3 linked regions of the Lonchura striata genome follow. The protein of the gene in region 1 purifies or fractionates together with the protein of each later gene. This does not show direct contact. Links are inferred from orthologs where the notes say so. Each region holds a gene or a part of one and is shown in the gene's direction. Other genes may lie near its edges. The genes, in order: APLF, CHD1L and LIG3.

Evidence for each region.
Region 2: the proteins of APLF (region 1) and CHD1L purify together in Homo sapiens (affinity purification with mass spectrometry; 4 studies listed by BioGRID and IntAct, counting the BioPlex papers as one, with this or other methods). This does not show direct contact. The link is inferred for Lonchura striata from reciprocal best matches to the Homo sapiens genes APLF and CHD1L.
Region 3: the proteins of APLF (region 1) and LIG3 purify together in Homo sapiens (affinity purification with mass spectrometry; 3 studies listed by BioGRID and IntAct, counting the BioPlex papers as one, with this or other methods). This does not show direct contact. The link is inferred for Lonchura striata from reciprocal best matches to the Homo sapiens genes APLF and LIG3.

What each region holds. Positions count from the first base shown.
Region 1 is NC_134605.1:3,025,902-3,035,195, forward strand, and holds the start of APLF (aprataxin and PNK-like factor), read left to right. Parts: upstream 1-5,641; 5' UTR 5,642-5,757; intron 5,758-7,840; 5' UTR 7,841-7,890; coding exon 7,891-7,989; intron 7,990-8,634; coding exon 8,635-8,761; intron 8,762-9,294. Other genes in the region: FBXO48 (F-box only protein 48), read right to left, coding at 2,852-3,013, 4,636-4,887. UniProt on the Homo sapiens protein: Histone chaperone involved in single-strand and double-strand DNA break repair.
Region 2 is NC_134604.1:26,877,611-26,887,715, forward strand, and holds the start of CHD1L (chromodomain-helicase-DNA-binding protein 1-like), read left to right. Parts: upstream 1-5,751; 5' UTR 5,752-5,788; coding exon 5,789-5,885; intron 5,886-7,467; coding exon 7,468-7,580; intron 7,581-8,328; coding exon 8,329-8,435; intron 8,436-9,696; coding exon 9,697-9,811; intron 9,812-10,105. Other genes in the region: uncharacterized protein LOC110480871, read right to left, coding at 146-266, 1,430-1,492, 2,440-2,580, 3,822-3,859, 5,375-5,431, 5,514-5,672. UniProt on the Homo sapiens protein: ATP-dependent chromatin remodeler that mediates chromatin-remodeling following DNA damage.
Region 3 is NC_134622.1:6,057,014-6,067,301, reverse strand, and holds the start of LIG3 (DNA ligase 3), read left to right. Parts: upstream 1-6,353; 5' UTR 6,354-6,459; intron 6,460-6,665; exon of another isoform or gene 6,666-6,697; 5' UTR 6,698-6,716; coding exon 6,717-7,257; intron 7,258-7,736; coding exon 7,737-7,853; intron 7,854-8,694; coding exon 8,695-8,892; intron 8,893-9,263; coding exon 9,264-9,415; intron 9,416-10,288. UniProt on the Homo sapiens protein: Isoform 3 functions as a heterodimer with DNA-repair protein XRCC1 in the nucleus and can correct defective DNA strand-break repair and sister chromatid exchange following treatment with ionizing radiation and alkylating agents.

The sequences.
Region 1 (9,294 bases):
CTGTGAAGGCTGACCTAAAACAAAAACTAGTCAGAGCTCAAGAATAAAGCAGGTATTTGTCGCTGTCGAGGCAGGACAGGAATGAATAGACTCTGACTCAGAAGGCTGCTGAGAGTAAAACTCCAATTTATTCAAAATACATTGCTCTTTTATACAGAGCTTCACAAGGATCAAATCCATTGGTCCTGAAGTGAAAACAACCCACAGCATTGGTGCAGAGTGCTTGACACACAGTGATAGAACTTAACTATAAACAATGTGAAAAACAAGAGAGATAAAGAATTATTTACATTATTTCCCAGCTCTTTCCCAGGCCTCTGCCTGGATAGAAACTCTCAGTTTCTTCCTTTGACTGAATCTGAGACGCACAGATTTATTAGAAGGCCTCAATGGATCCACCTTGGACAGCACAAGAGCCCAGCCAGGGCTATACCCAAGATGAACCCAAAATGGTCACAAAATGCACGAGTGCTCACGGGGTCTCACACTTTTATAAATTCTGGTTCATTTTCATATTAGAGTTAAGTGTCCAGTTACAGCTTTAGCCCATGAAGTCCCATCCTCCTTGATTTTCTCTCTTCAGTACACGTTGTTTAAGCTCTTGGGCCTGAAATTTGGAACATTTGTCCTTGATCCCCAGATAGAGAAGGAATTGTTTTGTCTACCTGCTCTGTGAAGAGAGTTTAGTATCCTCTAATATGAAGCTCAAAAGTGCACACTAAAGCAGCACAGAATCTGAAAAATAGAAAAGCTAAAACCTGAGACATCACAGGTGGCTAATGCAAAGCCTAGGTGATGGACACCCTGGGCACCTTTCTGCAGCTGACACCTTCCAAGTGTCAGGGGCACAAAAATGGCATGAGAATGGAAGGTCAGTGGGGTTTGCAAAAGCAGAACTTTGAGAATGGGGTTTGCAAAAGTAGAACTTTGCACTTCAGCAAAAAAACCTGTGGGTAAGAGGTAGGCACTGGAGTGGAAAAAGGGTTTCACCAGCCAAGGTGTGAGGGTAGCTAATGCATGCCCTGGGTGGTGAGGGCTTTACACGTGTGGTTTTAGCTGCTGAGCACACTTTCTGGGGAAGGACACCCACATGAGTGCTAATTTAGGTACAATCTTCCTATTTCTTGCATTTCAGTGGCTTTTGTTGGCAGAGCAGAAGGGGCAAGAGATGAGCCCAAACCAGGAGGTGCAAGGAGCACAGAACTGGATGGGATGTTTTTTAAGGGAAGGGAACACATCCATCCTGCAGCAAAGATGGGAGGCTGAGTAGAAGGTGCAGGGGCAGAGAGAAGAACAGATGATCAGATATGATGTAATGAAATCTCCAGGGGGAATTAAAACCCTTAAAGGAAGGAGTCAGAACGGGGAGAGGAAGAAAACCTTGTTTTTATGTGGATTTGCAATTAAATACTATTTTTTCCCCCTCACTAACAGATTTTTCACAAGAATTTACACCACTGTTACTCCAGCTTTAAAGATGCAGGCCTTGTGTAATTGCATAGCTGCATGTTTAATTCCTTGATTAAAAGAGGCACAGCCACCTGATTTCATCAGAGGCACAACATATATTGAGGATTCTTAATGCTTATTCAAGAATGGGGAAAAGCTACAGCCAAGTGCACAGTGAAGTAACTTTTAGGATTCATACTTGAATATTATTCTATTTACAAACGCTATCCTGAGACAAATACATGAGAATTTACAGCAGAAGAGCATGAGAGGAGCAGGAATAGGGGATAAATGTCAGGGAGTTACAGACTGGAGGTAACAGTGAAGGCTGGATGAGAAAGGTGAGGGACCAGATCCATTATTGTGCAGTTTCCCTATGTTATGATTAAAAAACGGGGCAGTTTTGAGGTGAAGAGAATGTACTGCTAGAAATGTTTTCTTCTTTATTAACTTAGATGCACTTTTTACACTTTATACTCTCTTCAATCAGGGTAAAACATTCTGTGAGCAGGGAGTGAAGCAGTACCCTCAATGTGCTTGGGTGTGCCTTTTTCTGCTGGTTTTATTTTTTCTTTAATTTGCACTAACAATCTTGCAGCAGAACAGCTAACAATAGCAGAAGCAGTGTTTGCAATTGATCTTTTTGCTACATCCTCTGTATTTAGGAATGCTCTTTACTCTGAGTTACACTTGTTGGAGGTTAGGATTTTTCTTTTTTTTTTGTTTCCCTTTTTCTCTCAAGGATTTTTCTCCCGTCTATTGCCTAAAAAATTATAATAATGGTACTTAAGAGAGACAAAACATGTAGCCAAGGGGGAGGGGGTGCACTCTTATAGGTGAGGAGTTTTTTTCCTTTGAAAGGGGGAGATTTTAGTGAGGGGCTGGGCTCAGCTCCTCGTTCTCTCGTTTTTGGCTTGGAGGGGAACGAGCATTGCTGCCCAGAGGATTCTTTCCAGTGTCTGGATTTGCCCCTTCCCCAGCCTACTTCTGTAAGCTCTCATGTGCTGCTGATACAATACATTTCATATCAAAAGGTCAAACACACCTTAGGGTGGGTTTTTTTTTTTGTTTTTTTTTTTTTTTTGTTTTTTTTTTATAATATAAAAATCATCTCTTCCAAAACAAAAAGTGCAAACTGAAACGATAATCAGCATATTTTTGACAGTGCAGTAGAACATTAAATTTATAAATATAAATTACAACTGAAGATTTAGTTGCCTTTAGAATTTTGCATAAAATTAATACAGTAAAATGCAAATTAAAAAAAAGACACCCGTAACTTTCTTTTGGAGAAGTTTTCATCATAAATTCATAATCAGTTCAAAATCAGTTTCACAACTGCTGAACGGTGTGACTGCTATTGGCAAAAGTTTTCTGAGTTGCAAGAATCAGCACTGGTTTATCATCTCTCAAGTTCTGCTTCCAAGATTTCTCCCCACGTGTCGACATCCATTGGATACATGCTTTTGTCTGGCAAACTGAATTGAGAAGGAATGTTGCTGTATTTCCCACTTAGCCATTCTTGCTTCACTTTGCTTTTCCAGTAGTTTCTCAACAGTGTAATCTGGTGGAAAAACATAGAGACAGATCTCAGAAAGGAACCAATTTAAAATGCAATCAATATTGCAAGATTATACTAGAAGAATAGTGCTGGAAAAGGGATTTGTAATGTGCCTTTGGGATTTGGAATGTGCCTTTGGATATCTAGACCTTAAGCCCAGGAAGGTGCAATGCTGCCGAGAAGCAGAACATGTTCCACTTCCAACTTTTCTGTTCCTGCCTCAATTCTTTAGTGGTCAAGATGAAAACCCAAACCAGGAATTCCTCTTACTCCTTAAAAAAGGCACCTTTCACTTTCTGTTTAGGTTGTGACCTTTCTTTGGTTTGGAGGCCGGCTGGGTTCTTTTCTTCTGCCAGCCTTTAAGGGCAAGAAAATGTAGACTGGGTGTGTTTGTAGATTGTATTTCAAATCCCCTCCAGATAAAACTGACAATCAGCACAGGGAGTTCTGAAAATTGCTGTGCTAGGGTAGCAAGATCTGTACACTGAAAGGGTAACCACTATCTGCTCATGGCTCTGCCTCATACTGCAGAAAATTTATTGAAATGTCAGAATCCAGTGGCTGCTTTTGTTTCTTTTGCGGCTGCTTCTCTCTTTTCACCCCTCAAACACACCAGCTTAAATAAGGTGGGAGATTACCCTATAGCTGGCCCAGAGTAACCTGTGGAACCAGTGACCTGGTCTACCTGATCAGGTTCTGATCTATCTCAGCTTCCAGGCTGGATTCATCAGTGAGAGATCATCCAGCAGGTTCTGAAGCTGCACCTGCTGCAAACTCCTCAGAGCAGTCTGCATCTGGGGCGATTTTCTAAAAAGTTTATAAAAACTCCTGCTCATTTCTGTTGCTATAGGACACGAGAAAGTACAACATGAGCCACTGCGATGGCAAGGTAAAAAAGAAGGTTTATTTTCTGACTCCAACTTTTATACTTTTTTAAAGGTGACAGTGGATTGGAGAGTGAATGGGCCACCTCTCCAAAGACATTGGACAAACTACTAGTATGTCAACTTCCTCTACTCTCACGAAGGAATGTAAAAGAATATGTTGTTTATAGAAAATGTGTGGGAAAGTTTTCTAACAGAATGTAAACTCAGAAGGCTTTAGAAAATTTTAAGAATCAGGGTGACACATTTCCTTTTCTAGTCCCTTTTTTTTTTTTTTTTTTTTTTCTTTTTTTTTTTTTTTCCTGAATGCGTCTCACTTGAGATGCATTGAGACAGCGCTATCCAGGATGCTTTTTCAGGAAGTCTTTCCTAACCAGCAGAAAATACAAAAGACAGAAAATACAACCAGAGAGCAGACGCTGCCTATCGGAGTTGAGTCCATTCTCCCTGCCTGCGGGAATGTGGCCTTTGCCCCGTGAAAGACGACTAATGCGAGGCGGGCAGGCTGTATCCCGGGTGGGAAAAGGGCCAGCCTTGCTTTATTCCCAGTATATTCATTCCCAGCTGTCCGCCTGCCGGGATGCGCTCCGGGATGCGCTCCGAGCCACGCTGCGCGCATCCCCCGCCACCACCCCGGGACGGGCGCGACAGGCTTGATGTCACTTCCTTGCACTTTTCCATTGGCCCTGGGCATCCTCGCCCGTGTCGCTGCCGGCGTGGGGCGGCCGGAGGCGTTCTTACCTTCCAGGAGTAGCCGTGCCCGCGGTCGCAGTCGATCTCCCGCTGGCAGACGGCGCGCACGGCCAGGCAGTGCTGCCGCCACAGCCGCTCGCTGCCCTCGATGAGGCGGTGCCAGCCCTTGCACGCCACGGAGGCGCGGCACAGGCTCTCCACGTCCAGCCCGCTGAAAATCCGGCAGCTGATCTCGGGAGGAAGGGCAGACACCAAGTCGCCCGCTCCTCCTCTTCCCCCCTCGGCGCTGCCGCGGTCCATCCCCGCGGCGGCGAGGCGTCACTGCGGCCCCTCCGAGCGCGGGCGGCCGCCGCCGGCAGCGCCGTGTGCCAGCCGCCCGCCTGCCGCCATGTCCCGGGGCGGGCGGGCCCGCGGGGCGCTGCCCCCGGCCCGAGGCTCCGCGCGTTCGGCTCCGCGGAGGCGGCGCCGCCGGGCGGCCCGGGGAACCGCGCGTCACGGGGCGGCCGCGCGTCATCAGCCGGCGGCGGCTCCCGCGGGGCTCGGCGGCGGCTCGGTGCCCGTCCCGGCGGGGCTCGGCGGCGGCTCGGTGTCCGTCCCGGTGGGGCTCGGCGGCGGCTCCGTGCCCGTCCCGGTGGTTCCCGCGGGGCTCGGCGGCGGCTCCGCGCCCGTCCCGGTGGCTCCTGTAGGGCTCGACAGCGGCTCCGTGCCCGTCCCGGTGGTTCCTGTGGGGCTCGGCAGCAGCTCCGTGCCCGTCCCGGCGGTTCCCGCGGGGCTCGGCGGCGGCTCCGTGCCCGTCCCGGCGGTCCCTGCCGCCCTCGGCAGCATCTCCGTGCCCGTCCCGGCGGGGCTCGGCAGCACCTCCGGCCCCATCCCGGCGGTTCCCGTGGGGCTCGGCAGCGGCTCCGGCCCCGTCTCGGTAGCTCCTGCGAAGCTCGGCGGCGGCTCCGTGCCCGTCCCGGCGGGGCTCGGCAGCACCTCCGTGCCTGTCCCGGCGGTTCCCGCGGGGCTCGGCAGCAGCTCCGTGCCCGTCCCGCTGGTCCCTGCCACCCTCGGCAGCAGCTCCGTGCCCGTCCCTGCCACCCTCGGCAGCAGCTCCGTGCCCGTCCCGCTGGTCCCTGCCACCCTCGGCAGCAGCTCCGTGCCCGTCCCGGCGGCTCCGGCAGCCTGGAGGTGAGGCCGGCCCGGCCCCGCTCAGGGGTTCCGAGGGCACCGCTGGAGCCCCGAGGCGGCTCCGGCGCGGGTGGAAGGGGCAGGGAGAGCTCGGCTCCAGCAGCGGGGATGTTTGGGAGTGGAGCATCTCTCGTGGGAGGAAAGGCTGGGGGAGCTGGGCCTGATCAGCTTCGGAAAGAGACAGCTGAGAGTGGACCTCATTCATCAGTATAAGTGTCTAAAAGTGCCAAAAGAATGGACCGGGCTGTGCCCACCGGTGCAGAACTATGGGACAGGAGGCAGTGGGCAGATACTGATGCACAGAAGTTCCACCTGGCTATAAGGAAGAACTTCTTTACTGTGCAGTGGCTGCACGTGGAACAGATTGCCCAGAGAGGCTGAGGAGTGGGAATATCTCTCAGTGGGATACTCCAGAACCATCTGGATGCCATCCCGTGCCATGTGTTCTGGGATTACCCTTCTTGAGCAGGGAGCTGGGGCTGGATGTCCCGCTGTGGTTCTGCTGAACCTCGCCCATCCTGGAGCTTTGTGAGACCCTGCAGAGCTGGAGGAATAAGGCAGAGCTCAGCCTTTGGTGCTTCTCTTCTCAGGGTGACAAAGAGAAAGTTCAGCTGGTCAGTGTGTGCTCTCTGCAGTACAGCAAGTTCTGGAAGGGTTGGTGTCAGAACTCAAAATGTCCCTCAGACATTTCAGGAGGTTCCAGGACCAGGTCAGAAGCATTTGAGACCCTGGCAGGCAGCTGCAAACAGCTGTGATTTTGGGTTTGAGCTGTGGAACAGTTTACCAGCCTGGCAGGAAGAACAAGAAGTCACAAAAGTTTAGATATTAGAGTAGAAGTAGTTACAAAGTAGAGGGAAGAATTTTTGCGTGCTGTACAGGGGGGTTTCTGTTTTGTACATGGGGGTCAGAGGTTTTAAGATGGAGGGATTTGGGCCTGCCCTGTCCTCCCTCTTTCTTCTTCCTTACCTCCATGTTCTTGGTGATGTTGGCACTCACAGATTGGTTTAGAGTAGAAAAGCACCATTTAATACAGGTAATAGGCATTGGGGAAAACTGTGAACATGTAACATGTAATGTACCATATAAAAGATAGAATATCACCATTTAATATAGGTAATAGGCATTGGGGAAGAACTGTAAACATGTAACACGTAATGTCCCATATAAAAGACAGCAGCAGCCCTGGGTGGGAGAGAAGAAGCAGTCGGGAGTCAGAGAGGATGTCAGGGTGTGTGTGTGCCTCTGCCTGAGCTGTGAGCAAACCACAGCAGCCCAAGGAGAAAATCTTTTAGATAACTTGCAATAAACTACCATGAGACCAAACAACAAGAAACTGCTGAGCCTCTCTTTGGAAGCACGGGTTGGAGGAGAAGATTTTTTCACCACACAAAGCCACCCCGTGACTTAGGGTGGTCTTCAGCAGGTTGGCAGAGACACCCCAGTGCTTCTCTGCAGGCAATACTGCACCAATTAGACTCGTTTTCCCCTGATCTTTTGTGCTGGTGCATTGAGTAGTGTAAGGGCAACGTGTTGAAAGAAAAACAGTTACAGTTTGGGTGTGCTTTCATAACCTAAAAAGCTTTTTAGACGTAGTGGCTCTGAACTGAGGCTTTTGAGACTAGCACCGGTGTATCTAGTGTCTCCTCGATAGCCTGTATGGAGAACTTGCTTGATTCATTGGGCATCTGGTCCTGAAATCCTAAAATCGTTGCCTGACTTTTAGGATTGGATCAGATTTTGGGGAGTTGTGAAGATTTACCATAAAGCAAATTCTGAGATGCAGTTTCAGCTTTCTCAAAGTTTTGTCATGGCAGCAACCAGTGTAAATTATGTACTTAAACCCCAAAACACCACAGTCGTGGTCGGCAGTTATTAGAGAGTCTTTTGGTCAAAACTTTAGGTGTGAGGTAAAAGGAAGGTGCATTTATTTCCTCTGTAAGCTGATGCTAAGAGGATGTTGATGGTCAGTTTCAAACTGCATTTGTTAATGGCAAACATTCAGACCAACTTTTGTGTTTGAGTCAAAAGTGCATGTTTATATTTGCAGCGTGTGAGTAGATAAAATCGTTTTTTGTTTTGTCAGAAAAAAATCAGGAGGCTGATGCAGAAGCACCAACTGTTCATGCTGTTGAGATGTCCTGTATTCCATTGTTAATGGAACCAGCATGTTCCAGCTCTGAGGTAGAGGGAGCCGCAAAAATGAGGAATAATGATGCTGCCTCCAGATTTTTGGTGGGTGTTTAAGTTTTTAATGAAGTTTAATATTTGTAAGCATGTGTTGGAAGTTAAGGAGGTGTTATGTTCTCTATACAAATGAAATGTCAGCCTTTGTTGTGGTTGCGATCCTGGGGGTGGACTTGCTCAGGAAATCCAAAAGGATAGTGTTGTTTTCAGTAAATAATGAATGTGACTCAGAGATTTAGAATCTGATTACTTTCTGGAGAAATAAATTGTAGCAATGCAAAAAAGACTTTTATGTTTGCAGGTTTTTGCCTTTTTTTTTCTTGGACAAATAGGCTTTTGTTAAACTTGCTCTTTCTGTTTTATATATGTAGGGAAACTAGAGCAAGGTGGTGGTAAAGCTCTTCTATGAATCCTTCAGTTTGTAGCCTTTTAGATATTTATTCCAAATATCTAAGAATATTCTGTTTTATTTTCTTTTGTTTTTACTGCACAAAGTTTCCTATAAATGTTGTTTTTCTGAGTGGATGGAAACTGCAAAAAAAAAGTAAAATACTTGAGCAATGGCCACCATACAAAAAGTAGGTTGTTACCCAGGCTGCTTTTGGAGGACATAACTGAGTGCAAACTGTGGTCTGGCTTCCCCCCACTCTTCTGTAACTGGATAAAGGCACTAAACAGTAAATGTTCTTTCAGGTTCCTCTGTCTGACGATAATGAAAGCAAACAGTCAAAATCTATTCAAAGAAAGAGAGTGCTTCCATCCTGGATGTTGGAAAGAGATCTTCTGGTGCAGAGGGTTTCCAAGCCTGTTCTGACAGGAGGTAGGTTTGTAGTGGGACAATGATTGCATTCCAGTGTGCATTTCTGTGCTTTGATACAATTTTTACAATTATAATGATGGTGATAGGAAGTATAATTTGCTACTTCTCTTTCCATGCTCTATGTGGGGCAGCTGACAAAGTCTGACTTCTGTTGTCTCCTTTGTCATCAGTCCTACGGGTGTTGTAGAGCTCTTTTTTCATCACTTAATTTTCATTCTGTTCTTTTTGTTTTTAATGCCAGATAATAAACTCTGTTTGTACAGCTGAGCATTGGATGTTCAGGAGCCCTTTCCTACAAACTTGACTATTTTGTATGTAAATTCTAAGTAGTTTCTGTCTCTTTAATTCCTAGCCTTCTCCACACTGATGTTTTGCTTTTCTAAATTTAGATTCTTAATTTCACAGGTTTTACAGGCAGAAGGGTTTGGGTGGTGTTGCATGTTAGTTTTTTAATCATTGCTGAATAAAACTTGGTTACTTAGTCCAAACTTCAGTGTCTTTGCTGATCAGTCCAAGTGCAAGAACTGTGGCTA
Region 2 (10,105 bases), on another chromosome or scaffold:
CAGGAAGGAAAGCAAACTTGTTGTAGTCCTCTAAACACAGAGGAATGAAAAATTTACTTATTTTTCTGTGCATACTGGCTCTTCTTATGGATGCTACTGCCCTTGGGGTGGCAGAGGCCCCTTTCCTACCAGAGGCAGACATTACCAGCATTATTTGCTCCTGGTCCCATTGCACTATGGCTCTGAGCGGTGGCGTGGATTTGTCACAATCCTCCAACATGGCAATGATGTTCTTGGCTACCTGGGATGGCGTCAGCTTCCCACTCCTACAGGACAGGAGAAGTTGGGAGTTTGTTATAAGACCTCCCCTCACATATCCACTCACAGGGTTTGTCTCCCATGCAGCAAGATGGCAGCTGTCACAGCTTTTAGCAAGAATTAGGTAAGAATCTCTGTGTGGTGATGATCTGAACACTGTTGACAACATCAGGACAGGAGATTCCTTTCCTTAAGGGGATAATTTGCCTACACAGAATGCTCCTTAGAGGAGGGGAAAACCTAGGTGAGTTTAACCTAAATGTTCCTGAACCACCACAGATAAACAGGGACACACAGCTGACAGCTTGACAGTCCTCAAGCTCCTGAAAGCTTGGAAACTATGAAACTCCCAATATAATGAGCTAAGACCAAGAGGTCAGACCCCTTTATACAGGCCTCCCATTACACAGAAGGGGCTGCCAGCAGTACTGTCATAACCCACCTTTAATAAACCTTCCTTCCCTCCTGGCAAAGACTGCTACACCACAAACACACCATTCCTGGCTGACACAAAAGCCTCACAGCCAAGATGCACCTGTAACAGCAGACTGCAGTGTCAGCCCTTTGCTCCAATGCCACAGCCTGGGCAGAGGTGGCCCTTGAGGAACAAGTTCTAGGAGTGCAAGGATATTTTTCCAAGGGCTCCACTTCTGGCACATGCCCCAGAGGCAACTAGGATTACCAGGCAGCCAACAGCTCACAGAACCCCAGAGTCAGGGGGGTGTTTTCAGCTCTTTCCAAGCTGGACATGTTTACTGGGTGAAAGCAGGTGTCATGCTCAGAGACGCACAGGGAGCTGGGGAACCAAGGGATTCATCAGAGACCCACAGTATGCACAACTGGCATAATCCAGATCAACCCTCATCTACTTCTCACTCATGTTTGAGTAAACAAGATATGTAGAAATCTCTCTCGAACAAGACTGACAGAGAGTAAGCCAAAGAAAATGGTATTTAAATATTCTTGCAGGGCTTATAAAGCTGTGCCAGCTCTCCCAGATGACTTTCCTTTGTTATTCTACTAAAGGGAAAGAACAGCAGGAAGTGATGATAAACAATGGCACCTCAAGGACAATGCTAACAAAGAGATTCCTGAGAGCCTGTGGAACAGTGGCAGCCCACAGCAGAGAAACATGTGGGATAGGTTGTTTCCAGACCATAATTTCACCTACCGGTAGCATTCCAGATAGTCTTTGATCTCTTTGAAGCTAAACCCGTTCCTAGCAGAATCAGACCTGCAAAAGAAAGGATTAAAAGGTGTAACTGTGAGCCACCAAAGCCAGGTTTGTTCAGACCTGTAGACTTCAGCATCACTGTCCAATGCAGATTTGGGTACCATTCACAGTAAACCACGTGAATTGCTAACCCCTGCATTGCCCCTCACACTCTGTCAGACTCCTTGCACACAAGCCAGGCAACAGGCACACTATGGATGCCACAGAAATAAGGGACCAATTTTGCCAGAATGTTCTAGTTTCTTCATATTCCTACTGAAATACAGCAGTCATTAAACTGTTCAAAATGTATTCCAGATTTACACTTCCTACTCACCACTACAACACTATAGCCTAGCTGGAATATACTTTTGAACCTACTCCCAGACCTCTGTCAAAAATTCAATCCCGAGACAGCCAGCAGCACATCTGGGTGTGTAGTGCAGGAGTGGGAAAAGGCACCATGCAGCACACACAAGCAAACTGCTTCAACACCAAATGGCTCTAGCACATAAACAGTAGGCCACTTCTCATCACTAACAAAGCTAATTTCTTGTGCATTATTTTCTTTAGAACCTGTGTTCCTTCTCTCCTCCAAGAAAACCTGGTGTTCTCTTTGAGATTCCCTGGAGGCTAGAAACAGCACTCCTGTAAAGTCACTTAGAGAAATCTATTTACTAACTAGCCAAACACTAAGTGTACCTGCTGTAATCGTGCAACCAGAGCCCTGGTAAGGGCAGAATTTGGTCTCTCCCCAATAGACTTTTCTCTTTCGCATTGCTTGTAATTGCTGGTGATTTGTAAGTTACAAAAGGCAAGATGACTGACAGCACTATTTGTTTTGTGAAGTGGCTGGGCATGGAAACAAGAATTTAATCTAAATTGCTGACAATGACAGCTTCCCATTAAAGTACCACTGCCAGCATGTGTATTCATCTCCACTTCTCTCTTACACATCACATACTGACCTTGCATCTGTCAGCTCCTTGATAACATCTGAAGGGCTTTTAGCCTCAGACTTGTCTTCTGCAACCCCCGCAGCAACCTCCGGGATAAACGTGGGATCTTCATGAATGTCAAGGGAACGCATAAGCGAGAAGTTGTTCATTCTGAATAAGAGAGAATCACTGCTGGAGTTTTCAACCTCAACTATGACTAATTTTTCAGACTGTTCAGAAGGAACCTTACCCAAGAACATTTTGTCTTAGCAGCCTGCTTTCACAGCAGGGAGTTGCAACAGCTACAAGCTAATCTCTCTTGCATATTTCCTAAGGGCAGCATCAAATCTATTCTGCCTGTTTAACAAAGCCTCCTACCTCTTGATATAAGGCTCTTGACATAAAGCTCTGTAAACTCGAGCTGGGAAAGAAACGGTGGAAGTTTTTGATTCACTTTAATTAGACCTCTCATACACAGACCAAACAAGACAGGAATGGAAAGGAAAATAAAAGAAGAATGTAGTGTAAGCCATACATTCAACCACTAATCCTGTTAAAACAAGCACCTCTTCAGACTTTTCCATTTCCTCTTTCAACATAATTTGTTTGCAACCAAATACAACAGGGCTTGCAGCATAAATCCATAGCAAAGCAAGGAGATCAAAACCCTGTCACAGGTATCCAGGAATGATCTGCAGTATAATAGCAGTGACACTTGCCTGGATTTGATTTGCTCAAAAAGCCCACATCCCAAGTCAAATTCAGGGGTGACACAGTTCTCAGTGTCCTGGGATCTGCACAGATGACCCTTCAAATGATGGGCAAACTATACGAACAAAGCATGAAGAGGTTCCTGAACCTCTTACCCAAGTATCTCTTCATGGAATGTGTTCTTGAAATCAGTTTCTGAACAAAAACACATATGAAAGAAAGAAGAAAAGCTGACCTAAAACAAGAGAACATAATTAAAAAGAACTCACCAAAACCTCTGAACTTTATGTCTGGCCTCACTTTCTCACTACTACTATTCTTTTAACCCTATCAGTGATAAGAACAGCATATTTGCACATCCACCATCCTTGAAAAAAAGACTGTCCTTTAACAAAAGAGCAAAGACAAAGAGACATGAAGGCAAACAAAAGGCAAAAAGAAAAGCTGATGAATACAGTTTCTATGCACCTGCATGAGTGTGAAAAAAGCTATTTTCTTCTCATAGAGACCCACTCAAATGACAGTAGTTAAAAAAATAATCTAGCAAACATCTATGAAGTAATCTTATTCTGTAATCAAATTATGCAGCTCTTCTCTTTAAAAAATACAATTTCAGATAACCTACAAGCAGTGTGCAATGCAAATACCTTAAACCTAAAAAAATAAGAAACTCAGAGTGGGAGAAAAGTCCCCATGCTTACCTCATTAAGAATGGCAATAAGCAAATCTGCCCAAAAGCCTAGGAAAAAAGGAAGCAAAAATGTTGGTTTGCAGCAACTTTGACCTGACACCTTCTTTCACTAGATAAGGAATGCTGAATATGCTCATGATTGCCACAGGCTCAGAGTACGCTAGAGAACATACAATGCTATGCAGTAGAGAAACAGCACAAACATTTGTATTCTACACCAAAAAAATGGCCTGAAACACTTTCCCTCCACTGCTCATATTTATATAATTATAAAAAGAGTATTCTTCTGATTCCTCTGCCTTTATCTTTCCCTGCATCTACAGAAAGCCTGCATCTGCAGATGCAACACTGTTAAGAAGCATCTATATAGCTCCCATCCGTTATTTTCATCATGTTCCACAGATTATGCAAACATTGGATAAGGTAGGAGCTTATTATTTTATTTACTATTAGGACCTTGCCTATCTCTCAACCAGCTCCCACAGTAACATGAGTCAACTTGGAAAAGTGTGAGAAATTTAGAAACTCTATGGTAGCAGACAGCAGAAAACAATCTTTCCATACCCTGGCTCCCAGAGTAGCAGCATCAACAGTCCCAAAGAGACCAGCCTTGTTCTGGCCTGTCTTAATATCTTAACAATGGACTTCAGATACATGTTGTACGATGTACAAATACAGTACAAGTCTGAGGCAAGGCTCACACTGCCAGTCCCACAAAGCAGCACGTCACCTCACGCACTGCATAAGAATTACAGACCTTTTTGAAAACACATGGTTCCTAATCTACATCTGACCTAGCACAGCACAATCCAGTAGGAAAATTAACATCTCACATTCCCCTTCAAGTGAGGTATTGGGAAAGGAAAGAAGCCCTCTGCCATGCATCAGAAGCAGCCACAAAACGAAAGACAACAAAGTACTCTGCTTATTACATCTTGACAGAAAGCCACTCCTAAGGTATTCTCACAAATAAACACAGCCCATCAAGCATTTCACGCCAGGCCCAGACGGACACCAAGCTTTGTAACAGGTGCCACGGCTGAAAAGAAACTTTTGTGCCTACTTCGCTCAAAAGGAAAGGCCGAGCAACAGCAGCAGGCATAGACCCAGCTGCTGCCAGCAGAAGCAGGTGCGAGGTGGGCAGTGCGCAGGGGATGCAGACTTTTGTCCCCTCTGCACCACGACACCGAGAGGCCCAGTGCCGCAGCGGGATCAGCCCGCCGGCTCCCGGACATCCAGAGCCCAGCCTTGGGGAGCGCCGCTGCCTTCAGCAGCCTGCAGGGACCCCCTCACAGGGCTGAGGGACACGAGTCCTTCGGCGGCCAAGGAGCGCGGCCGGCAGCTCTCTTCCGAGTTTGATGTCAGCTTTGGGCTCTCCACACCCGAAGACACACAGGACTCTCTCAGCCAGAGGCCGGCGCTCGCAGTGCCACGGCACCGCACCTATAGAGCCCGGTGAACCCGAGAGCCCGCAGAGAGCCACAACCACCGCGGCGCGCCCCGGAGCCCCCGCCCGGTTCTCCCCGCGCGGCCCCGGGTTTCACTGCCCCGGCCCGCACTCACCGTGTTAGCCACATGGACGAAGAGGCGCAGCCCGGCGCCGCACAGCCTCGGAGCCCACTGCGGAGAGAAGGCGAGAAGCGAGGTGAGCGCCGGCCCCGCCGCCCCGCGCCCGCCGCCCCCCGCCCGGCCCGGCGCTCACGGTGTCCCGGGGCGGGCCCGGCGGCCCGGCCTGCCGCGGCCCCCGGCGGTGCAGCACGGCCGCCGCGCCGCCCGTGTGCCGCCGCCCGCAGCACAGGTAGGCGGCGGCGGCGGCGGACAGCAGCGACGCGAGCAGCAGCAGCAGCAGCAGCGGCGCCATCGCGGCGCTCCCTCGGGCGAGCCCTCCCGCTGCCGGGGCGGAGCCGGGGCTGGCCCCGCCCGCAGCCGGGCTCGGGCGGCGGGAACGCGCGGCGGAGCGGTGACTGACGCCCCGCCATGTCCCGCTTCTCCCGGGCGCTCCGCCGCGCCGGCGGCGCCCGGGCCGGGGCTGCGGGCGTGCAGGAGGCGGACGTGCAGCGGTGGGGGCTGACAGGTCAGCGGGGAGCGGGGGAAAGGGGCGGCAGGGAGCCTGAGCGGTGCGGTGCTGTCAGAGGTGGCGGGAGGGGCCCGCGCTGCCTGGGGCTGCCCAGCTCACTGAATGGCTGGCGTTGGAAGGGGACCTTGAAGATTATCCAGTTCCAACCCCCCTGCCGTGAGCAGGGACGCCTCCGTCTAGACCAGGTTGCCCAAAGCCCCATCCGACTTGGCCTTGAGCACCTCCAGGGATGGGACATCCACAACTTCCTTGGGCAACGTGTTCCAGTGGCTCACCATCCTCACAGTAAAGATTTTTTTTCCGCTAATGTCTATTCTAAATATATTCTGTTTCAATTTGAACAGATTCCCTCTTGTCCTGTCACTGCAGGCTCCTGTAAACAGTCTTGCCCATCTTTCCTGAAAGTTCCTGAAAGGCCTCAAGTAGGTCACCAGGAAACCTTCTGTTGTCCAGCCTGGACAACCTCAGTTCTCTGAGTTGTCTGAGCTCTGTACTAACACCCCCCCTAGGCTGGAAATAAATAAAGGTGCAAATAAATTGGCTCCCAAGCGTGTCAAAGTGAGCTGCAGTTGCTGCAGAGATGGCATTGCTGCCATACTCTGTGCCAGCCTTCCCTGGGTGCTGTAGTCCCTCTGCCTGGCTTTGTGGCTAGGTGGTGTTTGGGCCAGGGCTGAGCCTGGCTTAAACCCTCCTGGTGCCTCCGCACAGCCTCAGGCAGCTCTGTGCTTCGGGGATAAGGTGAGCAAGGGTTGGCCTATTCAGTGGCCTGGAAGTGGATGTCAATTAAAGTGCTTTCGGCTGCCTGGAGGGTGATGTTAAAGGGGAACGCCAGGGCAATCCATCCTGCCCACACATTTTCCTTAGGTGCTGGAAGTCCTCACCTCAGTCCCTGGGCTGGTTTGGGTTTGTGTAGCCTGCGGGCTGGTGAGTTACTTCATGCACGCAGTGTGCACATTTTCCCAGGGAGGAGAGGGCAGCAATGCCAGAATACACAGCACTTGAGTCCAAGCACAAGGAAAGGTCTTGCCAACTCCTATGTGATTTGTTTTGTATTCATTTTGACATATCATGCCCCATAGTAAGGATTGCAATGGTGGTAGTAGTCATAGTGGCCTATAGTGGAGGTCTGCTTTGGCTTTAAGTAGAGAAAAATGGAAAACATCTTGTTAAGAAATTATTATTATACAATAATAGATTGTGAGAAGTATTTCTGGTAGCCTAAAGCATGTCCCTGGCTCTAATACTTACTTTAATATTTTAAAAAGTGATTCAGGCTGAAAATTAAGCTTTCTTTTAGGAATGCAAAGTACCAGCCTAATTACTAGGTCAGGTCTTTTGCACAGTCAAGGATGGCTCCTTGACTGCCATGGCTCAGGGCATTTTTGTGCAAGTTTCTGAATATACTTTAATTTAATTGCAATTACATTGGGGTCTTTGCTATCCAGGAAGGTAAACTAGCTTCTTCTGAATGCTGCTGTGCTTTTCCTGTAAGGCATATGTTCTGGGCAGGACCTGTTCCTAGTGTGTGTATGGAATGCATTAAGTGACTGTAAGTGTAACAAATCACTTTTATTCCCAGGCATTAAACTTCGTCCCTATCAATTAGAAGGTGTAAACTGGCTGGTGCAATGCTATGAAGTCCAGCATGGCTGTATCCTGGGTGATGAGATGGGCCTTGGGAAGACTTGTCAGGTGTGTCTTCTTCTTCTGGAAAATTATCTTTGCTTAAATTTTTGGGGTTTTAGCTTAGTATTTCTGCAAATTGAAAAAGTACCTTACTGATTCCCCCCCACTCCTTCAGAATTCCATACTCAAGTGAGAGCTCATTGTCTCTTTCAGTCCTTAACCACTTAAAACCAGTCCTGAGTTAAGTCCTGTGTAACACCAAATGGGTTTCAGGGTTTTGTAAAAAGACGAGTGGCCATTTTATCCAAACATCTTAATGCATAATTCATAGTGTGCAGAGCTGAAGGCACAATACACAGCCAGTACAGGCAAAATAATGTCCTTTTGATGCACTTGCACCAGGGGGTTTTTGTGTTTGTCAGCATATGGATTAAAATGTATAAGTCTAATTTTTTCAGAAGTTTGTTGGATTTTTTTAAAGTTTTTCAGTGGGTTTAAGTTTTTTTGGAAAATGACTGTGCTTTGGATCAGCTGATTTTATTCAATAGGGCTTAAATTACAAATAGTTTTAGAAAGTGATGCATGGTAGACCAGGTTTGTGACTGTGCAAGAAAGGGGCTTCATATATGGAGGTCATGTTTTAGGATTTAAGCCTTTTTGTCTGTATCCCACTTGATATTCTCTTAACTCTGATTTGTGATAATGAACCTATGGAAACTATCTGCAAAGCTCAGCAAGGAGACAGCTATGTAGGATCAGGCTATCGGGTTGAACCCTTCCCTTGTTATAAAAAAATATTTTCCTTGCCTTTTAGACCATTTCTCTACTTCTTTATTTGACAAAAAAGTTATCAAACAAAGAGAGATTTCTGATACTTTGTCCTCTGTCAGTTCTGAGCAACTGGAAGGAAGAGCTGGAGAGGTAAGTTTCAACAGTTGTCTGGTTTACTGTATTATTGCTCATACTTGCAATTGCAAGGTTTGCAAGTTGCAAGATTGCAGAGATTGTTTTCAAATGTGCTCACTCCAATACTTCCTTTTTATCCTTTCAAAGGGAAAGAAAGTAAAAAGGGAAGCTGCTACTAAGCCAACAAATCAATGCAGACTATGCAGTTAATGCATAGTCTTTACAATGCTGTGGTATACATGAACCCATCCATCCTATATTATTGGCTGACTTTCAGTCTAAATGCTTCCACTAGCTCCTTGCTTTTTATTGATTTGCAACCCTCCCTGCTCAGCCTCTCTTAGGCAAAATCTGCTGAAGACAGCTAGGAATCTTCATAATAAAAGGTAAGACCCAAGTTTGGGGGCATGCTTACATATGCACACAAAATACATCACACACAATACATCAAAATACATCACAGCTGTGCATGCAGCCCATCCTCACTGGGGTGACAGTGCTGATGTGTATCTGCTGTGCCTGAAATATGTACATTTCTGGTCTGTAGCCCACAGACTCTTTGTAAGAGGAAGGGCTAGAAGTTAAAGGTTAGAACAGAAGTCTGTCTGTGTGGCTGTCAGCTGATGCTGTCTCTCTGCATCTGAAGTCATGCAGGTTACATTCTGAAGTGAGCTGGCCTGATATGGATAGATTTTGGGTTGGAATAGTTGGGAGAAACTGCAGTCCTTCATAGATCAACAGTGCAGCTTTCCAGAAGGAGTATTAGGTAAATAATAGTGATGGGATTAAATTAGGAGAAATTTTATGGTCCCTACAATTGGAACTGATTTTTGACTGAGAGAATATATTTGAGACCCTGACTTGGACCTCTTTGCTGCAAACATTTTTGTCTTTATTTTAGAATTATTTAGGCCAATTCTTTGGCCTTATATGGGCCAACTGTATTCATTCACCTGCTTCTTATGAACATTTTTCAGTTCAGAATAGCAGTTAGGTCATGAGACTGGTTTTGAATCATCTGCCTTGGACTCTTACACCTAAAAGAATGCAGGTTTATTTAGGACTTGTTGAAACCACAGCCAACAGTGGAAGTGCCAACCTGAGGTGAAAATTATGGAGGAGTGAGATTCAAAAGCTGAGAGCCAGACACATCTCACAGGAGTGTAGGGTGTTTGGACAGGAATTCTCATCATCTGTGCAGTGAGGTCCAGGGTCATAAACACATGAAAAGACTTAGCTTGGCTCACTGTTTTTTCTGTCTTTCTCTTAACAACAGGTTTGCTCCTGGTCTTTCTTTCATATCCTATGTAGGCAGCAAGGAAGAGCGACCCAAACTGCAAGAGAATCTGAAAGGGGACTCTCACTTCCCTACACTTCTGACAACATACGAGGTACGTGATGCCTTTGTCACTTGAAAGGGGGACGCAAGTTTTTCTAGCCTTTTTTATTCCTCTGTACCACCCAGTTCATGCCTTGTTAGCCCACAAGTTTTCTCACTTTTACACTTCCAATTCTCTTCCCCCCTCTTCATGGGTGGGGTGTGAGTGAGAGGGTGTGTGATGTTAAGCCATGACATGCTGAAGGTGTCATGTAACTGTCATTTTTCTTCCTCAGGTAGTAAGTGCCTTCGTTCCACTCTGCTCCATTTCACCATAGTTTGCAGGCAGACAGAAAAATGCTCTGTT
Region 3 (10,288 bases), on another chromosome or scaffold:
AAAGTATTCACAGCTAAAATTTTCAATTAAAATTTTGAAAAAAGTCCTCTCCCGGCAAGGAGAAATGACAAATTAATTTGGGAAATGCTCTAAAACAAACTCCACCCAAAAAATATCTGCTAAGCTTTTATTTTAGATTTCCTTTGTTTTCCAGAATTAGGTGTCATCTTTCAATCAGCACCACCCCAGAGGATGAGATTTGTGTTCACTACCCTGGCATGTGTAATGATGCCAGGATAATTCGTAGCAGATGTACATTTGGGGAGAAATTATTTTCCTGAGAATCTATTTGTGTGGGAGGATGAAGTATGGTTGTAATGAAGGTGCTGTGGGAGCTGAATGACTTTGCATCTCAAGTACAGGTGCACTTGGGTGTAACTTAAACATAGTTTGCAATCTCTCTAAATGGAGCATTTATAGCCAATTACACTTGTCATTCACCTTGCAAATACCTCTATCTAATTTAACAGCATATGCAGCAAGCAGAAAAATAAAGGCTATTCTATTAGGTGCCAGCAGAATAGAGGTGGAGGCACCAGCTCTGTGTGTAACACACGTTTGGCAGATTTCTGAACTGAAAGAGAATGGATTCAGAGCGTGGCCTCCAATGCCCTTCTTCTCCCTGCATCACAAGCCTCCTGTCAAATGTAATTTCCTCCAGGAAGACATGTATCTAGCTGAGATTTTCCAAAACCTGTCCAAGTGATTTGGACACTCACTTCTCATTAGTATTAATAGCAAATGAGCATGAGCATCTCCTCAGTGCCTTTGGAAATCTCTGACACATTTTTATTTTGGTGGCTGTTAAATGACTCTTTGGGCAATCTGCACTAGAAATGACAAATTTCCCGTTTGTTTTTCTGCACCCGGATATTCCTAATGCCCACGTACCAAATGTCAACATTTTCCCTCAAAAAGACAGCTGAGATGTGGTGAGAGGGATGGCAGAGACAGACTTTTGCCGTGTTTGGATTAAAGGACAAAGTTCACATTCCAAAACTGTCTCCTCCACAGAGGGCTGCACAGAGCAATTTTAGGATAACACCACATTCATTGTCATCTTTTTGTCACCGCCCTAGGCGGGGATGTCACTGCAATGGGAGCAGGGATGCAGAGGAGCTCCGTGGCTCTGTGTCACAGGCACTGAATCACGGCAGGCCCTGGAGAATGGAACAGGAGGGAAGGAAAGGTGAACCTCTTTGGGAACACCTGGTCCATGCCCTGCAGCAGGGAACAGCTGCTCCTCTGAGATTCCCTCACATTTTCACTGTTACACCTTAGATCACATCCAGTCGCTCTCACTGTTCCGGGAAACACTAAAAAGAAAATGGGAACTGAAATACAGCTAATTATTTTTTTTAAACTGACAGCTGATTATATTACCAAACTGAGGGAGCAGGAGGAGGCTTGTAAGAGATTTCACTCCTGTTATACCCAGCTTCCACTTTTCACCCCCACAAAAGGCAGAAGAAAGCCTTCCAAGCCACTTCTCCATCCAAAACAATGCAAATCCCTTCAGACTGGACCATGGAGCTTTTCCTTTCCAAGCCCTTCCTAAAGTCAGACTTACCAACGAACATAAATGCAAATAAGTAACTAATACTGAGCTCTACAAATCCATTTTACATGGCTTCTTGATCTGTTATTTAACTGACATGCCTTCCCTTTTTGCCAAACGTATTTCATGCATATATGTCTGTTTCCTATAATCTTTTCCATTTCTCTTATCGCTTGTATTTTAATAAAACCACATGTACAGATTCAGTATCTTCTTTAGCAGCCAGAGAGGGAGATATATTTGTTCACTGGGGTTATTAAAATTCTAAATATCTTCCTTCTTTTATTTGATTTTAGTGAGATTCCAGACATTTTCTCAATACCAAGAAGATTGGATTCATTGGAATATAACTCTGACAGAAGTCTTGCAAGGAAACTTTAATTTTAGTCCAAACTCCATTAATTTAAGATATCCCTAGAAGATCTGGACAAGGTGAACCTTTTTTTATGAACTATTTTCAACCCTGGTTTAGGATGAAGCTATTTTTTTTTTCCTTCTTAACACTGAAGAAAAAGCCTAAAAGCAAAACTTGAGACCATTATTTTGCTTTCATATATATCTTAATTCCTGACAGAACTCCTGATGGCCGCTTTGCTTAAGCAAGGACAGACTTAGACATTTAAATCTGACTTTTTGGGTGTTATCTTCCTGCTGCTAGTGGAATAAACTACTTAAAACAGAGTTCTGCTTTCGTGGGTGCCTCTCTACTGCTCTGTCATTGCTGCCTTTTGCATAGAGAGCACATTATGGTAAGAGGCTCAGCTCAGCAATTCCAGTATTTGCTACCAAGGGAGACTCCAGCAGTGATTTCTCCCTGATCCTTGGTGAAGGAGCAGGGATTTGTCTCCTGATTTTCCATCAGTGAACTCAGTGACCTGTGGTTTTGTGGATAGATTCACTGGACATATTGTTCTACTCACAGCTTTTTGAAGGTACATCCAGCCAAAAGGGGAGTTGAAGGAGTTCATTCCAATAAGACTCTAAAACCCAAAGTATTCACAGAAATCACAGAATGACTAGATTGGAAGATACCTTCAAGATCATTAAGTCCAGCCCAGCCCCAACACCTCAACTGAACCACGAAGTAATGTTAATTATTCCCCTTGCACACAAACCTTCCCACCCACAATAAGAACAGTGGATTCACATTGATTTCAGGGGAAGAATGTGCTTGCAGAGAACATTTAGGAGCAGTGACCAAAATCAGGGCCTGACAGGCCACTTGGAACTTTCTTATCACTTCTTAATGCCATCTCAGAGCTGTTAGCCACAAAAAAAGATGATAAGATCCAACTGAAACAGGGTAGATTTACAGTAGATATTGGAAAGAAACTGTTCCCTGTGAGGGTGGGGAGGCCCTGGCACAGGGTACCCACAGGAGCTGTGGCTGCCCCATCCCTGGAAGCATTCCAGGCTGGGTTGGACAGGGCTTGGAGCAACCTGGGATAGTGGAAGGTGTCCCTGCCCATGGCAGGGGGTGGAACTGCATGAGTTTAAGGTCCTTTCACACCCAAACCCTTCTATGATTCTACAAAGAAACAAGGTTCAACTTTCTACCAATTCCTTTGGAGCCACATTAGAAAATCAGCAAAATTAATGCTCTGGGCTGCAGAGTCTTCATCTCCTTCTCAAGAGGAGGAAAACTGGCATTGAGAGTGCACCAGCTTTGCTGCTGTCATTCCCAGGCCTCTCCAAAACAACCCAAACCAGCATTTGTGTGTGTTTCTCAGAGAGGAAATTTATCTAAAACTCCCAGTTTCTCACGGCAGCCTTCTGCCACCTGCCTGTGCTCGCTGCATCTCTCACTGCCCGGCCATCAATCTCCAGTCCTGCACCACTCTGCAGAGGGGCAGCCTCCTACTCCCCTCCTGTCCCTGCTGCCATGCAAACCCCTCCAGGCTGAAAGGAGCCAGCAGCAATTCATCTCACCTCATTGAGGCTTCTGAAATGTTTCTCTGCTGCCTGAAGGCTCTGCCTGTTTAGCTCATTTAGCTGACTTTTAGAGTTAGGGCAGCAGATCCCACAACTGCCAGGTTGCTCAGTTGCCTTATTTATTATTATATATCATTTAAACCTGATCATGAGGTGCTGCAGTGTCAGCCCTTGCCTTTCCATCTCTTTCACCAGGCTCACAATGAATGGGACACCTCACCACGGTGCCATGAACTCTGTGCTCCCAGCAAGCTCTCTCTGAACGCTGCACATCACAGCATCTGAACACCTCATCTTCACCTGGTTTTTGTTTTCTTCCCCTCTAAAATCCCTGTGTTCATACAAATTCCTGCACCCACTCACTGCTGGTTCTGTAAATCATTTCTCAAAGCAATCTGAACTACTAAAAATCAAATCACATTGAAGTCACACATTAAAATTTTAATCCAAATGCACTCAGCCAAAAATCTGGAGCGTGGTGGTCATCTGGGTGCCTTCCACATAAAGTCCAGAGCAGGAAGACCTCTGTGAATCCCTCTGCAATTCCTCTTTTGTGACTCAAAGCTCCCAGTTGGATTTGGTTGGATGAGCTTTCTTGTTTCTTTGGTTTTGCGGTTTCCTCCACTTCTGAGCCATGAGGGACAGGAAGGTTCATTTCCATCATGAGCTTATGGATTGAATGCATTGCCTGAGAGTAAATATTGCAATGTAAAATATTGCAAATGAATGCAGGCTGTCTGTGCACAGCCAGATCCCAGTGATCAGAAATGCCTATGTCGGATTTCATCCCAATTTTGTGACCAGGCACAATTGTTACACTCACTCCCAGCTCCAAACAGTGTGGTTTGTTTGATGTGCTGGGGAGAAGACTGCCTGTAGCTTGCTTTAAAACCAGCTGGAGGCCAGCAAAAAGACAGATATGTGGCTGGGGAAGCAAATTCTCTACCTTATGTCTCATTCTGCCTTTGAGGTCAGAGACTTGGCCATGTCAACCCACACAGCATCCTTTCCACGGATGAAGGTAGGAATCCAGTGGAGCTGTGTACTGCATCTGTTCCAGCCTCCTCAGCAGCCTCCTGGCACAGCACAACAGCACTTCCACCAGAGGAACAGGGGTGGCTGCCACCAGCAGAGAGCCAACAGCTGGGCTGCAGGTGTGTGTTTACCTGTACTGGGATGAAGGGCTGTTCTCAGGAGCCTGGGGTGGTACAGCAGCACCTCAAACCCACACAAACACAGTGCAAAGGACAATTTTAAGAGATTATAAGGGCAGCACTTCAGGCCTGTGCAGGTACTGAGGGCCCAGGTGATATGGCAGCATCTCAAACCTGCACCAGCATGGCATAGTACCCCTGAAGGGACAGCTTCATGAGGCTGGGGATAAAGCAGTGGCTCAGTGCACAAACACGGTGTTAGAACTCTTGGAGGGACCACTTCTATGGCCAGGTGATCCATCAGCACCTCCAAGCTGTGTTAATGCAGCACAGCACTCTTGGTGAACCAGTGTGCCTCAGCCAGGAACAGGGCACCGCTCACACCTGCCTTTTCCAGTACTCTGGAAAAGCCAACTTTGGCAGGTCGGGAAGTCATCATCACCTCAGGGCAGGGGACACTGCTGCAGTGGAGTCAGCCCTGTGGGGGGGACCAGCCATCACCTCAGGGCACGGACCTGGGACTGCCTGAGGCAGAGACCCTCCATTGCCGCAGGTGCAGAACCCCATTGCCTCACGGCACAGAGCGGGGCACAAACCCTCCATGGCCTCATGGCACAGAGCGGGGCACAAACCCTCCACTGCCTCATGGCACAGAGCAGGGCACAAACCATTGCCTCACGACACAGAGCAGGGCACAAACCCTGCATTGCCTCACGGCACAGAGCAGGGCACAAACTCTCCACTGCCTCATGGCACAGAGCAGGGCACAAACCCTCCACTGCCTCATGCACAGAGCGGGGCACAAACCATTGCCTCACGGCACAGAGCGGGGCACAAACCCTCCATTGCCTCATGGCACAGAGCAGGGCACAAACCCTCCATGGCCTCATGGCAGAGTGGGGCACAAACCCTACATTGCCTCACGACACAGAGCGGAGCACAAACCCTCCATTGCCTCACAGCACAGAGCAGGGCACAAACCCTCCATTGCCTCACGACACAGAGCGGGGCACAAACCCTCCATTGCCTCACGGCACAGAGCGGGGCACAAACCCTCCATGGCCCCAGGCGCTGTCCCAGTGCCGCCCCACAGCACGGACCCTTCCCCACCTCGGGGCGGGGAGCCGCTGCCAGCTCAGGGCACAGTCCCTCCATCGATCGCCTCATGGAGGGGGAACTCTCCGTTGTCCCAGGGCGAGGACCCGGTGCCACCTCTGGTCCTGGTCCCAGTCCCGTCCCAGGGCACGGACCCAGTGCGAATCCAGGGCACTGGATTCTCTTCCTGGCCCCAGGTGCGGTCCCGGTGCCACCTCAGGCACGGACCCGGTGCTGCCCCGGGCGCGCTCCCGGTGCCGCCTCAGGGCACGGACACTCCCTGGCCCCGGGCGCGCTCCCGGTGCCGCCCCAGGGCACGGATCCGGTGCTGCCCCGGGCGCGCTCCCGGTGCCGCCTCAGGGCACGGACCCGGTGCTGCCCCGGGCGCGCTCCCGGTGCCGCCTCGGGGCACGGACCCGGTGCTGCCCCGGGCGCGCTCCCGGCGCCGCCTCAGCCGCGCCCGAGGCGGGAAAACGCTCCCGGCGCGCGCTGGGGGCGGGGCTCAGACGGGCCGATGGGGCGTGGCCTGAGCGCGCCCCCGCGGCCGCCGCTCGGGCAGGAAGGGGCGGGGCCGGGCGGCGCGCGCGGCCCTACGGAAGCCGGGCCGGCGCGCTCGTGTCCCGGCGGCGGCTGAGGCGGCGGCCCCGGCCTGAGGGGCTGCGGGCGAGCCGGGGGTCCGGACGGGGCGGGGGACGGGATGGCGGCACCGTGAGGAGCTCGGTGAGCGGCGGAGGGGCAGCGGGAGCCCGTGGTCGCGCCGGGGAGGGCAGGGCGGGAAAGCGGGCTCGGGGCGAGGCTGTGGCGGGAGAGGCCTGGGAGCGAGGAGGGGGCCGTGAGGGGCCGGGCTGTGGGGCAGCGCAGCGCGGGCGGTGGCGGCCGCTGCGGAGCGGGGGTGAGGGCTGGGTTGGGCGGGTCCCGGCGGGCAGGGGGTGCTGAGTGTCGCCTGTGTCGCTCGCAGCAGCCTCGGCGCGGACTGGATGCCCGCGGGCGGCCGGGCGCTGTCACACGCCGCCCGCGCTCTCGGCCGGGCCGCAGCGCTGCTCTGCCCCCGCCCGCAGCTCCCCTCGGCCGCAGCGTTCTCCCGCTCCGCCGGAGGCAGCCCCGGGTGCTGGTGGCAGCTGCTGCTCCAGCCTGTCCCTGTGCCATCCCCGAAGCAGCGCGGAGGTGCCGGCGCGTCCCCGCTGCCGCTCCCGCTGTCCCCGCTGCGCTCGGCCTGCGCGGCCGCGGAGGACATGGCAGAGCAGCGGTACTGCGTGGACTATGCCAAGCGAGGCACGGCGGGCTGCAAGAAGTGCAAGGAGAAGATCGTGAAGGGGATGGTGCGCATCGGGAAGATCGTTCCCAATCCTTTCACCGAGTCCGGAGGGGACATGAAGGAGTGGTACCATGTCAAGTGCATCTTTGAGAAGCTGGACAAAGCCCGGGCCACTACTAAGAAAATTGAGGATATCACAGATTTGGAGGGGTGGGAAGAGCTGCAGGATGAGGAGAAAGAAACAATCAACAAGTACATCTCAGGTGAGGCACGAGGCAGTTCCAGGGTCACTTTCCTCCTTATTTTCAGGTTATGCCAGAGGTTGTTACCAGCTGTGCCTTTGCCATTAAATCCTCGTGGATTTATTTGTGTGGCTTAGGGACAAAACATGTGCTGCTGTTCCAGCCCCTGCCTCAGCTGTGTAAGAAAGGGAAGAAATGGTCACTTCTGCAGTGACACTCCTCAGTTCGTTTGTCACAACTAGTTCTGGACAAGAGCTATGTGATTTATTTCATAAGCAAATAAAACCCATGGTGAATCATCAGTTATTTTCCATTTCCACATTTTTCTGTGATCTTTAATAAATTACATATTCTTCTAACTTTTGTTACCTGAAAAACATCTTTTTTTTCTCCTCCAATTCCCATTTCTTTTAAGGCTTTTTACTTTGTAAGCCACATAATATGGTGAGTGATGTATGAGATTATTCCTGACTGCCTCTTTGAACCTTTCTGCTTTCCAGAAGCCAATTCCAAGACTGGAGGTACCCCAAAGAAAAAGGTGATAGTGCAGGCAAAACTCACTGCCACAGGACAGCTGACCACAAAAGATCCACCAAAGAAATTCTCTGGATTCAGTGGTAAGAATTAAGAAATGGTTCTGAGAAATTCATTTTTTTAGTCTCAGCATCAAGAGGTGTTTCTGCTTGGCTCAGATCAGTAGGTTTTTATCTATAGATGATTCTGGTTTGTCAGTGCTTTCTTAGGCTGTCAGTCTTGAAAGAACATCTTGAAAGATGTGTGGATCTCCAGTTTTCCCAAGGAAACAAAGGTTCTGCTATGACCCACATTGTCAGGCTGACTGGCTCATTGCAGTCAAACTGAAGACATAGGCTAAAGTTATCCCACGTGGAGCTCAAAATCTGGAAAAAAACTGCTGAGGGATTCTCAGTTGTGTTCATGGAAAACTTGTCCTGAGGAGCAGGACAGTCCATCTTCCATCTGTGAGCTCTGACTGACCTGACACCCACCTGGAGCCACAGCAGAGCCAAAGACATCAGTTCCTTAGGGATTGGTGTTAGGAGAGGATGGGGATGTATTCCCCAATTTTAGAAATTACCTTAGAGAAGTGTTTTGCTTTGAAGGCTAAAAACCCATAAAATAGAAAAAAAAATCTCTAAAACAGAGGCATCTGGAAGGAGAAATTAATTTTCACCATGACTTAGCCATACTTTTCTGGTAGAACCAAGATCTAGGAAATTCTGGTGTGATGTGAAGGGTAAAAATAATTGGAAGGTTTTTATAAAAGTCATAGTTGGAAGGTTTTTATAAAAGTCATAGTTGGAAGGTTTTTATAAAAGTCATAAATTTTAGCTCTGAAGCTTCGCCAGCACACTGGGATTGTTCCCAGCTTGCCAGGCAGAGATAATTTCAACATTTGCTCCGTGTTGTTAAAAACAACTTGTGGTGTGTTTGATGCAGCTAAGCCCAAGAATTCAGAAGATGCCCCTGCAAACCCTGCCCAGAAGCCCAGCCTGTCTGCAGCCAGGTGTGATCCCAAGCACAAGGACTGCCTGCTGCGGGAATTCCGCAAGCTCTGCGCCATGGTGGCTGAAAAGCCAAGCTACAATGTGAAAACTCAGATCATCCAGGACTTCCTCAGGAAGGGATCTGCAGGAGGTATGGCTCCAGCTGGGAATTCTCAGCTCTCTCAGAATCAGTTTCAAAGGCTGATCTCTAAAGGAAAGGGGAAATTCAGATCTGTTGTGTGGTCCTAGCCTTGTGCTGTGGTGATTTCTGAACTGTGGTGGTAATCTTTGAAAAGTGAACTCCTTAAATAGTAAATTCAGACAAAAATTACTCACTTGGGTGCTGTAGGTGCCAAATTTAGTGCTGAGGTCAGATTTAGAGGCAAATTGTGGCTATTTTCCCTAAGAATTCCAAGCTACAACTGTGGATTTTATCCCCAGGGTTTGGACACAGCCAGCCAGAGCCTGGACATGAAAATAAATCCTCACTGCTATAATGTGCTTTTTTTTTTTTTTTTCCAGATGGTTTTCATGGTGATGTATACCTCACCATTAAGATGCTGTTACCAGGTGTCATTAAAATAGTTTACAACTTGAATGATAAGCAGATTGTAAAGCTGTTCAGCAGGATTTTTAACTGCAACCAGGAAGAAATGGTCCGGGACCTGGAGCAGGTGAGTGCAGAGAGCAGCTCTCTTAATTTCTGCTGTTCAGCTATTTGCTTATTCTGTATTGAAATTCGGTAATGATTTAGGTTTTTTACTCCTTAGCTTGACTGTTAGAATGGGAGCTGGTGATTTATTTTGGTTTTCCTTGGCTTTAGCAGTGCTCATAGCATTTTCTGCCATCTGGAACCTGTAAAAAACCATGTTTGAATGGAAAGCAGGATAAGAATTCATCTGGCAAAGCTTTAGAAAGCAAGACTGAAATTATCTAGGCAAGGTGGGCCGGATCTCTTTGTATAAACTGCTTTGTCTGGCACATTGCTACAGAACTGAGTTATATTACTCTTTTTGTACCATCACATATCAAAACCTGGGATTCAATTAACAGACCTGTCACTGGCAGCTGCAGGTGGTTAATACAATTAAGCTGCTACAATTGCAGGTGCTCAGTTGCGCATTGAGTCCCTGTGCAGAGGAGCTGGTGATTGACTGTGCACCCTCTGATTCACTGCAAGGTGCAGAAAAGGGGTGAATTAGATAAAAAAGTAATTCTTTCATCTCTGTTCATTGCCTTGCTGTGTGCTGCCTTCTAGTGACATCACTAGCCTGGCCCACGTCCTTGGATTTACAAGTGGATTCATCCCGAGAAAATAAAGGGTCTATGCTGCTGCAGCAGTGAAAAATAAGAGCCATGAGATGATGCTGGTACTCTTAATTACCTTTCTTGGCAAATTAAACAGCTGAGCAGCTTTATGTGTCGTGGCAGCTTCCTTAAGTGTTTGATTCTGATTTCTTCATGCAATCCCAGCATCACTCCTATCCTTTGTCCTCACTGGAACCATGCAGAATCCCCAGTAGCACCCCCATTCTCTGGCCATTGCT